Linked DNA regions of Kluyveromyces lactis. The protein of the gene in region 1 interacts with the protein of each later gene in a pairwise test. Links are inferred from orthologs where the notes say so. Each region holds a gene or a part of one and is shown in the gene's direction. Other genes may lie near its edges. The genes, in order: PEX19, INP2, PEX3, PEX25 and PEX11.

Region 1 (2,819 bases):
CAGTAGTAGTAGATTTTATGAACACATTCTTTGAAATATACTCAGACATGAACTTTGATTACGATGAACCAGTATTTGTAAACTTGAACTATCTTTCGATACTTCAAACACAGGTTTCATTAAATTTGAAGAATGTTTTCAAGTTTGTTGACAAGAACAAAGATCCTCAACTGAAAGAAAGATGTCAGGATTGCTTTTCTACATTGGATAGTTTTATTGCATACAAACAAAATGAACGTAACAAATAAAACAATAAATATATACAGTCTACACCTGATAATAGTAAAATACAAAATAATTGAATAAATCAAGTATTCATTAGCATTATTCTTGATATTAATTTTAAATTTTACACGAGAACTATACACCTACTGGATCGTTCCATCCTATGATATATCTCTATACAGCCATATAACAATGGTCAACACCGTAGAATAAATCGAGCCATAGAATACAGCAAATTTATTTGATTTGCGCTTTACGCTGGGGAAGGCCCAGGGTTTCCCGCAAGTTGATATCTGCCGTCATCTGCGTATTTGCATTTTCTCTGTCAGTAAATGGTTTACTTCCGAAGTTGTATTATGGAGGTATCACTTGGTATACCTAAGAGCTTGTTCTGAGACTTTCCTCTCATATTCCTTAATGTTTTTCGAGAAAGCTCTCCAAGCTGGCTCTTGCGCAGGTGAGTTAGGGTTCGGAGAATCCAAAAGATCCTGTACACCAAGTAAGAGTTGTTTCAAGGTGATAGCAGGTCTCCAGTCCTGATCTTCGTTCAAGATTGATAAGCAAATGGTTCCACTGGGATAAACATTAGGGTGATAAAATCCTGCTGGAAATTTCACTTTAGGAGGTTTTGACGGATAGTCATCAGGATATTCAATGGTCAAAGGATAAAGACCATTTTTCCAGAGAGTGCCGTCTCTTCCAGGGATACCAGCCTCCCATTTCTGCAAGTTCATAGATCCATCTGTCTTTTTAGTTGGTTTGGCAAAGAACCCATAAGGATGATCTTTTCTCCACTTCTTTCTCTCCTCTTGTAACCTCTGTAGACAAAGACTACTCATGACTGTTTATATTATTCGGCCGTTCTGATCGTCGAGTCGCTTTAATATACAGATACCGTAAATATATTAAGGTACGTTGCGCCCTGTTGTAAATAGAGCCTTAACTCAGATTTACCGTTGTTGAATAATTGGAGGATATGATATTCCGTGCGATACGTCTTTTTGTTTGTGATTTTGAAGATGATTTTGATATTGTAGAAAAAGCATCAATAGTGTTTTGAAGAAAAAGTGATATTTTTCAGAATTGACAGTGACTAAAGAAACCTTAACTGAGGTATAATTAATAGTAAGGGCTACGCACCACCAAAATTTCAACGGATAGTAATCAGATACTTCGACAAACGATGTCAGACAACAAAGTTGACGAATTTGATGATTTGGATGACTATTTAGAGGATCCACGCAAACTGGATGAACAGGAAAAACAAGAAACTGTTCCAAATGAGGCAGTTACTAAGGGTGAGCCTGCTACGCAGAGCGATGATCCAGAAGTAGTCGAGATGATGGAAGATTTGCAGAAACAGTTCCAACAATTGATGCAGCAGGAAGGCGGTGATACTGACCAAGAAATGGTTCAGAATTTCGAGACATTGCTAACTGTACTTGGAGATGCATCGAAGGAGAAAGACCATAACAGTGTAAAACACGTTCAGGAGCAATTGAAGAGCGGTACTGGTTTCAAGAATATCATTTCCAACACCCTAGATAGATTGAAAGAAAATTCTACGAAAGTGGATGAAAGTTTGGAGGAAGAGAAGAAAAATCAGAACTCAGACGATATTCTTTCCCAATTGCTAGATCAACTAGTGGAAAACGGCGATGGCAACGGTACGGACGGAGAAGGAATGGACAATGCCATTTTGAAAATGCTTTCACAAATGTCTTCTAAAGAAGTGCTATATCAGCCGATGAAACAAATGCAGGGAGAATTCACCGAGTGGATGGGATTACACGAAGAAGACCCCGAACACAGCGACAAGATTGATAACTACAAGAAACAGTATGCACTTGTGAATCAGATCATCGGTGTATTCGAAAGCGATGATTATACGAATGAAAAGTACCATGCTGAGATCGCAGATCTATTGGATGAACTAGAGCAACTCGGTGACTCACCGGTTGCAAAGGGAACTAGTAACGATCCTGGAAACGATATGTCAGAATTAGCCAAGATGCTGGAAATACAAGGAGATGAAAATCTAGGTAACATCGACAAAGACCTTGAAGATACCTGCAAACAGCAATAAAATGTGTATATGAGCTCATAATATAATATTTAATCATAATAAACTATTATTCTATTTCTTTCACTCTTTGCCTATTAGTATGATATTCGAATAATATGGCTATTTTTCTCTTTTCGACTTTGAAATTCATATTGAGGACTGAAATCACGAGACTAGCTCTAAACCAATAATAACCAATATACTATGCAAGATTGAATATATGTGACAACTTTTTGCCATAAGGTATACGGGACAGTGCACTCTTCTGAGTATCTCCCATTAGACACTTCCCTCTCAAAGAGCACCCTTTCTTTTAGCCATTCTTTAACACAGCATGTTTGTTCTTACATGCATATGTTCGCATATTTACAAAATAAATTGAGGAATGTTCGTATTCTATTTTTGTCACAGTCCTATGTTCGAGCATGGAAAAACCAAAATAAAAGAAAATTGAATATGAAAGAGTTGATCTACCTTCTTAAACCATGTTAAAATTTTGGACGAAGTTTGTTTCATAGTGAAAGAGGAT
Region 2 (3,991 bases), about 280 kb from region 1:
CGGTAGTGGAAACACTCCTTATGCAACCAACGCGAATTCCTTCCCAGCAGGAGTGAGAGTACCACAGCCACAGGGCTCATTTCAACCCGTTCTAGGAACCACTCCGAATGCTGGTACAAACGCTGGACTTGGTGTGAATCCCTATCATGCAGCGACCTTGGGAAGTTCTAAATCTACTCCAAAACCTCAGAATACTTCGGTCGGAAGCAAAAATAAACAAACCAAGAAGAGTTCAGCAACTAATAAAGATTCTGGCGCCAATACTAAACCACGAGCTAATGGGGAATCAAAGCAGTTCAAAGGTGTTAATTCCTCGTCAAAGGTGAAGAAACCAAGCCCGTCCGGATCACAACAAGTTCAAGCTAACTGGACCAAACTACAGCAGAAGCAACAGCAACAGCAACAGCAACAGCAACAGCAACAGCAACAGCAACAGCAACAGCAACAGCAACAGCAACAGCATCAGCAACAGCAACAGCACCAGCAACAGCAACAGCACCAGCAACAGCAACAGCACCAGCAACAGCAACAGCAAATTCGAATGCAATATCAAAAAATGATGACTTTAATGCAACACCAACAAAATCAACAAAATCAACAGCATCATCAGTTGGGTAACCAAAACATACTTCCAGGACAAGGGGATCCATCAGATAATTCAAGTCCGTCCCAGCAATATCTACAACAACAGAGAGCTTATGAGAACATGGTAAAATCACAACAGCAAGACCAACCAATGAACAAAGATCATTTTGCCATGTCACTCCAAACACAACAGCCTCAAAGTTTTGATTCATATGCTATGCCAGCCACTATGGGTCCACAAGCATCTTCTCAGCCTTTAGACAATAATAAAAAATCAGAACCTCTCTCAAAAATAGATGTTACTAACAATCAAGATTTCAATACATTCTCTGGTGGTTCAAATAACAAATTGAATTTTGGTCAGTTTGATATGTCAGGCTTGGGTAATGAATTCATGGGAGGGCGGAAGCAGTAATATGTATGTTTTACATGTTAGCTCCCTCTCATATCCGTAATACTAGTCAAAATCGAAATCAAATGACATCTGGTTTTTGACCAATGTAATTTACCGCATGGCGACGACCTAAATTTTTTCCCTTTCTTTAGTACCTAGAGTATATACCTTTCCCGTAATTAATATGTAACATTAAACTATCTGATTCGTTTTCATTGATGACTTCATTGACACTCTCTTTCGTTCTGTTGCCTTAATCTCGACTCTTGATAATGTCTTCCTGCCAATTTGTTCCACGATCAATTTTGTCGGATACTACTTTCTTTGTAAACGTAAACAAACAAAAAAAATAAAAAAAAAGCGTAACTTGATCTACATATAAATGACATCTCACTCTCAATACATTGGACAATGTAGCACAAAACTTCGAGGCTTGTCAAGCGGCTCATCCATCAATCCAACAGGTTGAATATCCTCTCATTTTGAGTGAAAACAATGGACATTTTCCAAGCGGTGCCTTTGCATCTGCAAATCCCTAGGATTGAAATTCCCAAAATGGCATCTGCAGCATCGACTCCATCAACGATGTCTTCGTCACAGACTTGGAGCAGTTCACGCCCACAAGTTCCGATCAGTTACCAGCAGTTGCGCAAGCTTAGTGAGTGGGGTATTGAGGCTTTGAAGGACACTTCGCCGACTGTTGTAGGCCAAGATCGCTTTGAATCACAGGAGATTCTGATTGATAACGATTACAGAACTGATTTTCTGAACTCACATGAAGAAGATAGCCGATGGAGTAAACAAGTAGATTTGATCATGAAGCAGCTACCTTATGGTGACCTGGATGCCTTTGTTGATGAATTTCACTATGAAATCATTTCCTCGCAACTGTTAACAAGCTCGATCGCTTCTCATCACCAGTTATTTACTGTTCAGAAATCAATCCTGAACTTCAATAAGGAAAACACCCTATCGATTCACAACGCTGAAGGAAAGACTATACCTACAAAATATGGACAATTGTTAATTTCTGGAAAAAAATTCTATTTACAGAGAACAATTCCATACATGTTCACCATATTGACGGCAAGAAAAGCTTTCCGTAAAATGCTTTATAAGAGACATCTACCTAGATCCTCTCTGATGTCCTTATTGATGATTGCTGTTTATCTAGCTTTACAGCAAGAGTACTTCCATGCAAAATATTCCAAATACACTGCCCTTTTAAATCTACGACAGATGAATGCTGCATTGCAATCTGTAGACAAATTAATCTATCGTTATCACCTGACTTATAAAGAGCTGACTATTTACAAACCAATCGCATTGACTGAAAATCGTGGTCTACGTTCAGATGAAGCCAGAACACTGACATTACTAACAGATGTCCTTACATGTACAGTAGACCAGTTATTTCACAAATTGAACATTGCATCTAGTAACATTTTGCCGGTTGTGAATGCAGTTCAGTTAACTGATTATATCAGTATTTACAATGTGGATTTGCAAAGCCTATATCAAATGATCCGAACAGTGGAAAGTCTGGACATTACACAAAAGTTGGAGAGATTGCAATATATGAGAAAGTTCTTTCTGTGCTGCTTACTTTCAATAAACTACACTGATCCACTGAAAAAGTGTGAGATTGCATTAGTCTTGAAGAGAATTTTTCCTGGATACCATGTGGAAAAGACTTCCGACATAGAGCGATTTCAAATAATCTCGAAACAATTATACACATTAACACAAGGTATCTCATCATTGTTGCCCGTTTTGCATCATTACAAACATTTACTTTTATCCGTGTACGGAAGTACTATTGAAAAAGAGGATCCCGAATCAAAGGAAGCTGTAATAACCCAAAGTATCTATCGCTTGTCTGAATTGCAGCGATACTTGATGAAACAGGACAAAACATCTACCGAACTCTCTTCTCACCTGATAGATGAGTTGAATGGAATAATACAAATATGGAATATCGACTATAAACATAACTCGCATGAACAGTTGAAACCACCGAAATGTTCTCCTCGGCCTTCCAGTCAGAGAGTTTTCAGCGGTGGACTCAATCTTGATATCGTAAAGACGACCAGTGATATCCCCGTGGTAGTTGATTCATTTCCGAAACTCACTTCGCTAGTAGACGTGTTAGAAGTAGATGAAACTGGGTCAGACATTGAAAAAGAACATGAGGAATTGGTGTACGGTACTGAAAATGATCAAGAAACAGCTTCTAGCAACGACTCTAAGTTTTCTCGTTTTACAGACGACCAGTTAAGGCACGAATTAAACCAACGAATACTGAATCTGTCAATTGAAAATAAGAAAAGTAGAGAAAACTTGAGAAAACAGAAAAGTTTTGAGCTGATGAATCGGAAAATAGAAAATCAGAAGAAGGGCAGGCCCCAGATAGATTGCAAAGGTCTTTTCAATTCCGAAGAGAGTATACCAGTACTTTTCGAACTAAAACAATTTTTAAACAGAAGAAGTGATTGACCTACATCCAATATTGATATCACTTGAATGATAAAAGTATGTATTATTTTAGTATATATAATAAACTTAAACCACCAGCATTATCGTTTCGAATATATTATAAACACTGCCTGGTTAGTTCAAAATTTCGCCTTGCTTATCGAACACAGTGCCTTTATAAGAGTCAAGGTTTTCCCCGCCGTAAGACAATAGACTTGAAACTTCGACAAGAATTTCATCATTGACTAGTGCTCCTACATCTTTCAACCAAGATGTAGTTAAATGAAGGTAAGCATCCCTAGCAGTTTCAGGATTATCATTTGCAGTTCCAGGAGCGTTTTTTAGTGGAGAGAATTCTTCTGCTCTTTCGACTTCCAAACAACCAAACCTAGACATAGGAATGGAGGGGAAAACGTCAAAAATAAACTGTTCTAACTTTATACCGTTAGGTTCTGATGGTTTCACATATTTGTCATTGACATTATCGTAGTACGAAATTTTCTTTTTGGCTATATGATATGGCATAGATTCTACCCA
Region 3 (3,244 bases), about 1.1 Mb from region 1:
TAATACTGCGAATTTTTCGCAATGGAACAAAACGCATAATAATCTGCGTGCGTTTCGCACGTAGAAGTACTTCAGTAATATTTCTATTTCTTTATCCAGCGAAAATTCCATATTTGCCTGCCAAAAAAAAAAAAAAAAACGCAAGACATTACACACATTCATACCACATATATGGAGAACCTGTACTCAATACAGGGCGAGTAGTCCTATTTGGACTGTTGAAGTAACATCCACCCTCCGCCAGTATACTTAATTTCAACACTGGCCTAGCTCAAGAAGTACTTTAGTTTGTTTCTCGTCAGCATAGATAATGGTCGCTGATGACTTATCGAATATAGAGACACAGCTACGACAGGTTCGTGAGAAATATCGTGAGCAAGCACACTCGCTCTCGCCAAGCGATGCAGAATCATGGTCAACCTTGGCATCAAATTTGCAGAAAGTCGTCACAGAAATGGATCAGCTTTTGCAGCGGAACTCTAAACAGATGAACGTATCCTTCCTATTGAACCACGAGTCATCATCGCTTCAGGCTGGAATACAGCCACCGCAACCGCTTCTACAGAACCTATACCAAAAGAACGGGAACGACGAACAGCAGAACCATCTCAAAGTCAAACTCGATAGAACTGCGTTCTATTCGGAAAATTCCCCCTTCCAACATCAAATGGATCGGTCTGGTTCATTCAGACTCTGTCCACCTTTAGCACATACAAGTGCAGAAGATTACTTCCGCAACGATACGCAAACCCCAATTATGATCTCAGATGGCCAGATCCTGGAGAACTTGGCCAATCTTAAACGTCTCACTGAGATGCAACGCCAATAGGTGGATGTAATCTTCGTTTTCGTTTGAGATTCGACACATCACATATATGATCCATCTTTTATTTGAGTCATGCGAACGTTTTTGACCAATTATACACATATACACATATAATATGTATAGTAAAAGATAAAGCTGTAATGATACACTATAAAATATCTGTTGGCACCAGTTGCAGAACCATAGAGGTTCAATACCCAACGCAATTCTATCTCTTTGGTATATGTTTTCTCTTAAATCTGTCGAATTTGTCGCTCTTTGAGGGGGAAACAAAATTCGAAAAACATTAAAATAACTAACTAGCAAGTAAACATCAACATCAATAAAGTATCAAGACAAACAACGACACTAGGAAAGCTCTACACGCAATCTGACAACGGCTGTAGTGGAAAATCAATAGAAGAATTACATTGCTCTAAGTTATAAGTTATTTTTTTACCCCTCATCATGACTGGGAATCGATCTCTGGTTCAGAGACACAGAAAGAAGTTCGTTGTTTCTAGTGTTTTGTTTGCTACGCTATTTGCTACATGCGCTATTACGGTCTATTTCAGTAAAAGATGGTTGTACAAGCAGCATTTGAAAATGACGGAGCAACGATTTGTCAAGGAACAGATCAAACGGAGGTTTGTACAAACTCAGCAGGACTCGTTGTACACTCTTTATGAATTGATGCCGGTAATGACGTTAGTGTTGGCTAAGGATTTCGATCTTGATTCTATTGTAGAGGCTCTAAAGGGGAAAAAGTTACAGAAGAAGCTTTCCAAAGGTGAAATAGCTGGGAATGAGTTGGAAAATGAGGGCTTAAGTTCAGGAATGAGTGCGATGACGCCTGCACCCAGTGTGTCAGCGAAATCTCCGCAATCTGCAGATACCACTAGCGTTTCTGAAACGTCTACGAAATCCAAGGCCGAGCTTTGGGACGATTTGAAACTCAAAGCTATCACCAAGATCATTATCTTGTCCTATACCACATCATTATTGATGCTTTTAACCCGATTGCAATTGAATATATTGGCAAGAAGAGAGTATTTGGATACTGCCATCAATTCTGCCATGGAAAAGGAAAGGGAAAAGAAGGCTAATCAATACTCAGTCTTATCTTGGTTCTCTAGTTGGATCACTGAAAAGAGCAACAATTTACCCAGTGAAAAAGCTGACCCAAGAAACAGCGATGGTACTATTGACACGGACACAAGGAGCATTGCATCCACTGCGAACCCTGAAAAATCGAGATACGTTAACGAACAAGCTTTCTTATCCTTATCGTGGTGGTTATTAAACCGTGGATACCTACAATACAAGAGTATCATTGAACAATTGGTGAAAGAAGAGTTCCAAAATTCGAACCCAAGAGATATCATGACAATGGATGAGTTCAGTGGCAAGATAAGCAAGATATTCGTCACCACAAACAAGCAATTCTTTCAACAGCCACAATCGAATGAAATGTTCATTTCATGTCTACTTCCTGAACCTAACTTAGAGAGATTTGTTCTTCAACAAACTTTAGAACAAGATGCTTTGAAAGTACTATACGAGGATAATCTATTACTAAAACAACTTGTACAAGAGACCAACAAATGCCTACAATCACCTGGAACATGGATTGTCCTGGAGTCTTTAATCGATGAAACATTCCACACAATCATGGAACAAATCGAGGATAATGTCAACAGCAAATCGAAACCTAAATCGAATGATGACGACACCAAAGTAGTCGATATATCCAAAAATTCATATCAAATCGCATTATTCTCTATCGCCACGAAAGACTGCACAAACGAAATGTTGAAAGCGGGACTCGTATCAATGAACAACAAGTTCCTACAGAAACTACACTCCATCTCGGCACTTGACGATCTCAGTGCATGCGTATATAGTAACTTCGGTCTATGAAAACCTTACTTGGCCCTCCATTCAAGTACTGAAATCGCTCCATACCGTGTATGTAGATAGTTCTATAGTTAACGTTACTCTTTCACTGGCACTACGGGGTTTCTCTTCCTGTTTCTTTAATGGCCACGTGATCATAATTTTCTTTTCCTTAAGGTCAAATAACGAAAAGAATCGAATTCCCAACAGGTTGTCAATCAACATGTTATACATCTCAGTTAATGTTTGCAAGTGGATAGGAGCTTGGTGTTTGTAGTTAGTTAGCACCATAGAGTTACCAAGTGGGTTCTATTTAGTACCAGAAAATCATGTCCAAGGAAAACCAGAACGTTGTTTTAGTGAGTGTTGAGGGAGAGAGATTTGTCGTTGACAGGAAGATCGCTGAACGCTCACTTTTACTAAAGAACTACTTGCAAGATCTTAACAGTGGCGATTTGCATGATGATAACGATGCTGACGATGACGAAGATGATGAAGAGGATGGTGACGATGAAATAGTGATGCCCGTGCCCAATGTGAGGT
Region 4 (3,097 bases), on another chromosome or scaffold:
AACTTCTCTCGAAGGGAAACTCGGTTCTTTATATACTTGACGAAAAACTATAACGATCCCATTCAGCGAAACATGTTCGAGAAAAAATTCGCCCCTGTTAATTCATAATAATCCGTTAAGTGCTTGTGTATACCGATGCTTCTCCTCTTCATCTCTTTACCGTTCTCTTGTTCCTGCACTTAACGACAATAAACTTTCCTTTGACGTATTTTACCGATTTTCCTGATAATAATACATAGTTAAAAAACAAAAAAAAACAACCATATCCTATATAATGAATCGCCAAACAATATGTTGGAGGGGACAATTGCTAAGGGTTTCAGGCTAGATAAACGTTTATGTGTGACATTCCATCACATGTAGAGATAGAAGAAAGAACATGCCTCGAAAATTGCTACTTTGACGGCGATTGGACGGCAGGACGTGAAAAGAGGATGAGTATCAGAAAAAGGAATTGTTCTCATCTCGAGATAAGAATACATGTCAGTCTTGATTTCGCTCTCTTTGGGATCGGTAATTATCGCGCTGCTAAGCTTGACTTGATGATCTATGATATAATAGTTTGTATGCAGCATTTCGTTAAGTGATAAAACTAGCGAAGATCGGGTAACGGAGAAAAACTAATGAACGTCATTTTTTCATAGTTATTGTGAGCGATCATTTTGAAGAGGTATTTCAAGTCACGTGCACGATGCCTATCTATCCAATGTTGGTAATGTCATCCACAATAGAGCGCTGAGTATGTATCGGTGATCAATCTTTTTGCCGCGTACTGGTAGGAGTATTCAAAGTTCAAAATATCGGCTTTTTGACACTAATTCCGAGCATTTGGATTATCCAGTAAACCCTTAAAGGCTTCGAGCCTTCATTTTTTTTGTTCCCACAGCTCAGTTCAATCCGTTGATGACTTCCTTTGGTGTTTAAACTGCATAGTCTCCAAAAATTAAAAAAATAAACCCAAGGAAAAATGTAAAACACAGAAAATCTTAAACAAAACAAATCAAAGCTGATGCAGATAACTGACGAGTCATAGATTATTGCACTATATTAAGAGTATCCTTTACATATGCCAATGCTGCATTAATCAGTCGAAAAATATCCCGGCAATAAATAGAGTCAGCAAATTTGGTTCCTTTTCCTAGTTCAGTGGTGAAAGAAAAGGATATTACTGTCTTCAGTCATTCTGTTGTAATTTCTATAATCATCTTGATCCTGAAGAATCGACTACTTAAGGACGGTGATAGCTCATAAGAAAATCATTGGCTCGTTTACACAATTCAGAATAAGTCGATATGAATGACGATTTTTATAGACCGCCTAATATAGCGGATGTAAGCATCGAAACGGAGGGATTTGAAATCTCAGCACGGAATGATTCAATGATGATACAGAATAATTCACATACACCTACAAAGTTGAATAACTTAGAAGTCACTGTTATTTCCAGTGATGGTGGAAGTAGTGGTACTAATGCCAGTGAAAAGAATGGTACATTATCTCTATCAGCAGGGGAAAGCACAATGGGTGCAACGAGTAGGGCGGACAGAACTGTGCATAATTCCTCTAAACGTAGTGACAGTGTTAAGTTGATCAAAGTTATGAACAAGGTTGATATTTTGAAAGCAGTTTTCGCGACACTAACGGGTAAAGATCGTATAGCGAAAATATTCAAATATGTGATAGATATACTACGAATTTTCATACAGAGGTCAATGTATTACAATAATAAAGATATCGACGTGGATGCTTATCTGAAATTATTTTCAAAAGGCAATCTGCTCACAATCCTAAGGAATCCAAGGCTTTCAGGTAAACTCTTCTTATCTAGCTCTTCGAAATTATTTCTCGAAAAGGGTGCTTTGGTTAGTAGCCAGCTAGGTTTCTATAGGCAAATCATGAGATGTGGGGGTACCCCATTCAGACTTTACCATTGGTACCAAAAGCTCATAAGCACTTTCTATGCGTCCCAAAAGTCATCAACTTTACATTCTAAAGGTCTAGTTTGGTACAAAAATTGGTGGAATGAGGAATCTCTCTCAGAGTTCATCGACTTATATTACGGAATCATGGATGAATTGATGCTATTATACAAACTTAAACTTTGGTCTAATAAATCGATGCATGCCTGGGTTTCTAAACACGAAGCTCTCTCATGGTATTACGACATTATGCTAGGGTTGAAGAAAAATTGGGAGAAACTTCAATCAATCAAACAACAGGAATTTGAATTGAAGATCCAGTATCAGGTACGTCAACGCGCATTGGAACTATCCTCAAAATTAAATGCCACCCCATCTGTTGATTCCAATAAGAATACAGCACTTATAAAACAGACTATCTTCGAGAGTTTCAAGCAGGACAACCTAGATTTAGAACTGGAAGTAGTACAAAAACTCAAGAACTACCAGTATGAGAAACGCATTGTCAAGTTTGATCTGACTAGACTATTCTTTGATTTCCTAGCTGATACTACAGATGTGTTCTCTATCAAAACACCACCTGGTACATATGCCATTTTGTCTCTATGCTCTGGTGTACTTGGATTCTCCAAGCTATGGATACAGGCGAAAGAGCAACCAAATGAATGAGTAACATACCCTTTGAAAATGTGTACCAAAAATTTCTTAGTACATTTCCCTGTATAACTCACAAGTAACACAAAGTATCAATAAGCTACAGACAGGCTATATTTTAGTGACTTTTGCAATGCTGCTTAAAAGAAGTGCTCAAAGACATATAACTTTACATGGGTACCTGATTAAGATCCGATTTGGACGGCTTTGCAAGCGATATTATATAAATTATTCTATGAATTATATAGTGTCAGAAGGTTAGAGAATAATGAATTAACATCAATAATGATTAGGAGATATGAACATAAACCTCTATGATAGAAAGTAGGATAGAATAGAAAGGAAAAAAAAATATTAACTTTAGAACCTGAAGTAAAGAGAAAAATAATGCAAGGAGACGGAACTAATGGAAATGGATAATTACCATTCACTTTCTCCCTGGGCTTTCTGGAAAGCAAAGTCTTTATGGTCTATTGTCACTACACCTTCTTTTAAATTACACTTCCACTTATTTTTGACTCTCA
Region 5 (2,584 bases), about 260 kb from region 1:
AGTTCTTTATCCGAGAACAGTGTGGCCCACTTCTCAGCCAGGGTGTAGAAATGAGGGCTAATTGAGTGAAGATCGAGACTAGTAGCACCAGATTTAATAGCGTTTAGTACTCTTGGAGCGAATAAATCAGGCGGGAGCAATTCGACAAAAGGAAGAGGTTCTTCAACTCTAGAATCTTCATTAGATTGCGCACCCACTACAGCAAGAAGATGGACCATCCAAAGTGGTAACTCTAGTTTTGCATTTTTCGATATTGGTCTGCCTGGGTTTCCCTCCAGATAACCCAACCCAGGAACGTCATAGTTGAATCTACAGGGAAATCTAGTACCATCAGCCAGTATATCATCTATATCATAGTATCCCATCTCGGCATAAATCTAAGGCGATTCTCAGGAAGCTGAACCGGCAAAATATAGGCTGGTATTTGGAATTGTAATCTTACTTTTGGCGTTTCTTCAATATGAGATATACAAATGCTTTAAATGATTTTAGGTTTGGGCTTGATGGCTCTAAATGTAAACAATAGAAAAGAACGCAGTATTATAAAGCAGAAGACATCGCTCGCTAGTTAACGATTCTTTTTTACGTGTTTCGCGATGTTGAGAGGAAATGCATCTCGATGATATAAATCACGTGATTGATGCTTGCACACTACAAAATCGTCATTATATCACTGTACACGATTCGCATACATGGCTTTCTCGTTGTCCCTTTTTTTTTTCTCGAGTTTCGGAACAAATCGGGCCATCCTTTTCAAGCTGTTAGCGGAAGGACATTTGGTCCGAAATACACGTAAAAATGTGCGCCTACATACTAAATATTATGTCGCCCTTTTTCCCGGGATCCCAGTCTTCACCTAGTAAGATTGCTATTGTTGCATGTCTTCCCCCGGTACAAATGTCCTTAATACAGCAGGATCTTCCGTGCTAGTAACTTCGCAGCTCTGACTTGTCCCTCCCATTTTTTGTGGGGGACCCGAAAGAAGTTGATAATAAAGTACGTTTCGCTGCTAAGTGGAAATCCTCTCCTTTTACCGTAGAGCCTGACTATTTTCTGTTGACCCTGCTTTGATCTATGCCCATTGACATATGAAGTATAACATCACACTTTATATATATATATATATATTTATATATAAAGTAGAAAATGACTGCTGAAAATAAAGACAAGCAGTTTTAAGCATTTTCACTACTCCTTGTATTCCTATCTCATCAGACTCTGTTGAAATACGTTGCACCTGCGATACAATCTCTCTCTAGTGCTTTGTTTGAATATACTGTTTCCAATATTCTACCTCCTTCAGAAATCAATTGAAATACTGAGCCAGTTATCCTGAGTCATCTTCCACATCTAAACTTATAAGTTTTACAAACAAAAATGGTTTTAGACACAGTTATTTATCATCCTACGTTGACCAAATTCATTTCTTTGTTGAATAAAACAGCCGGCAGAGAAAAGATCTTGAGATTGCTACAGTACTTGGTTAGATTCCTTGCCGTTCAATACAGATCTGGTTTGAATAGACAGTTACAATCTGAATTCACGTCTGTCAGAAAGATTTTGAGATTCTTCAAGCCATTGAATCATATCCAGGACGCAGCCAAATTATACGATAACAAGATTGCTCCAGATCAATGGGTTAGATGGTTGTCCATAATCAAAAATGTGGGTTATGTTGGGTATTTAACTTTGGATCAAATTAACTTGTTGCGCATCCTAAAGTTAATCCCAGCTACTCCTATTACTGCCAAGAAAGTTCCTCGTTACACAAACTGGTTTTGGTTCGTTGCGTTGATCGCTGGTTTGATCACCGATGTCCGTAAGTTGTACACTTCTCAAAGAAAGATCGAAGCCTCTTTGAGTTCTAAGGGCAATGCACCAACCGAAAAGGCTAGTTCTGAAAAGTTGACCGCTTACTACAATGAGAGATTCGCCGCATTCAGAAGACTAATCTGGGATTCTATCGATACTTTCATTGTCTTAAATAACTTGCAATTCTTGCGTAATGACGAATCAAGTGTCGCCCTGGCTGGTGTCGCTACATCCGTCTTTGGTCTACAAGATGTCTGGAAGACTGCTTAAAGGACTTCTCCTTCCCTTTAATTTAGTTTATATATATATATATATTTATATGTATCTTCTTTCAACTTAACATATTACTCGATATGTTGATAATTGTAATTTCAGCTGGTACCGGGATAATTTCTGATGATGCCTCCGTATTAACTAGATGTCTGTGCAGCTATTAGGATATACTATCACCATTGTTTCATCATTTTAATACCAATGTTACCCGCACTTGTTGATGTTTACACTTTTCGACAGGCTTCAAAGTTGAAATTGTTGAAAACTACTTGAAATTCCATTTCATCGAGGACATTAAGCGAGCACCATATTCGCGGCTACTCTTGCACTTCTATTCGTAATTCATTGCTTCTGCGGGATAACATCACCACTATTTTTATAGGTGGATATTCCTCAATTTAGACTAATCGCTTTGGGATTATTTCATTCTGTTCTTTTCATTGAAAAGCCGGTTGTTAATCTGATCTGGTATTCGAAATACAGCAGATTGTTAAAAAGA

Evidence for each region.
Region 2: the proteins of PEX19 (region 1) and INP2 interact in binary tests that used the Saccharomyces cerevisiae proteins (3 or more experiments, as listed by UniProt). The link is inferred for Kluyveromyces lactis from reciprocal best matches to the Saccharomyces cerevisiae genes PEX19 and INP2.
Region 3: the proteins of PEX19 (region 1) and PEX3 interact in a two-hybrid assay, tested with the Saccharomyces cerevisiae proteins (6 studies listed by BioGRID, with this or other methods). The link is inferred for Kluyveromyces lactis from reciprocal best matches to the Saccharomyces cerevisiae genes PEX19 and PEX3.
Region 4: the proteins of PEX19 (region 1) and PEX25 interact in a two-hybrid assay, tested with the Saccharomyces cerevisiae proteins (2 studies listed by BioGRID, with this or other methods). The link is inferred for Kluyveromyces lactis from reciprocal best matches to the Saccharomyces cerevisiae genes PEX19 and PEX25.
Region 5: the proteins of PEX19 (region 1) and PEX11 interact in a two-hybrid assay, tested with the Saccharomyces cerevisiae proteins (6 studies listed by BioGRID, with this or other methods). The link is inferred for Kluyveromyces lactis from reciprocal best matches to the Saccharomyces cerevisiae genes PEX19 and PEX11.

Annotation. Positions count from the first base shown.
Region 1 is NC_006041.1:441,691-444,509, reverse strand, and holds PEX19 (Pex19p), read left to right. Parts: upstream 1-1,408; coding exon 1,409-2,311; downstream 2,312-2,819. Other genes in the region: SYO1 (Syo1p), read left to right, coding at 1-248; E2 SUMO-conjugating protein UBC9, read right to left, coding at 591-1,064. UniProt on the Saccharomyces cerevisiae protein: Required for proper post-translational import and stabilization of peroxisomal membrane proteins (PMPs).
Region 2 is NC_006041.1:162,232-166,222, reverse strand, and holds INP2 (Inp2p), read left to right. Parts: upstream 1-1,474; coding exon 1,475-3,475; downstream 3,476-3,991. Other genes in the region: MSS11 (Mss11p), read left to right, coding at 1-1,000; QRI1 (UDP-N-acetylglucosamine diphosphorylase), read right to left, coding at 3,590-3,991. UniProt on the Saccharomyces cerevisiae protein: Required for peroxisome inheritance. Acts as the peroxisome-specific receptor for the myosin V motor MYO2.
Region 3 is NC_006041.1:1,508,220-1,511,463, reverse strand, and holds PEX3 (Pex3p), read left to right. Parts: upstream 1-1,273; coding exon 1,274-2,725; downstream 2,726-3,244. Other genes in the region: KLLA0_E16985g (uncharacterized protein), read left to right, coding at 311-829; SCF ubiquitin ligase subunit SKP1, read left to right, coding at 3,031-3,244. UniProt on the Saccharomyces cerevisiae protein: Involved in peroxisome biosynthesis. Acts as a regulator of MSP1 by inhibiting the ability of MSP1 to unfold target proteins.
Region 4 is NC_006042.1:61,536-64,632, forward strand, and holds PEX25 (Pex25p), read left to right. Parts: upstream 1-1,292; coding exon 1,293-2,588; downstream 2,589-3,097. Other genes in the region: TOA1 (transcription initiation factor IIA large subunit), read right to left, coding at 2,994-3,097. UniProt on the Saccharomyces cerevisiae protein: Required for regulation of peroxisome size and maintenance. Has a role in the import of peroxisomal matrix proteins. Imports RHO1 into the peroxisome. Also promotes peroxisome division and biogenesis.
Region 5 is NC_006041.1:177,012-179,595, reverse strand, and holds PEX11 (Pex11p), read left to right. Parts: upstream 1-1,377; coding exon 1,378-2,082; downstream 2,083-2,584. Other genes in the region: DNA replication protein PSF3, read right to left, coding at 1-365. UniProt on the Saccharomyces cerevisiae protein: Involved in peroxisomal proliferation. Promotes peroxisome division and biogenesis.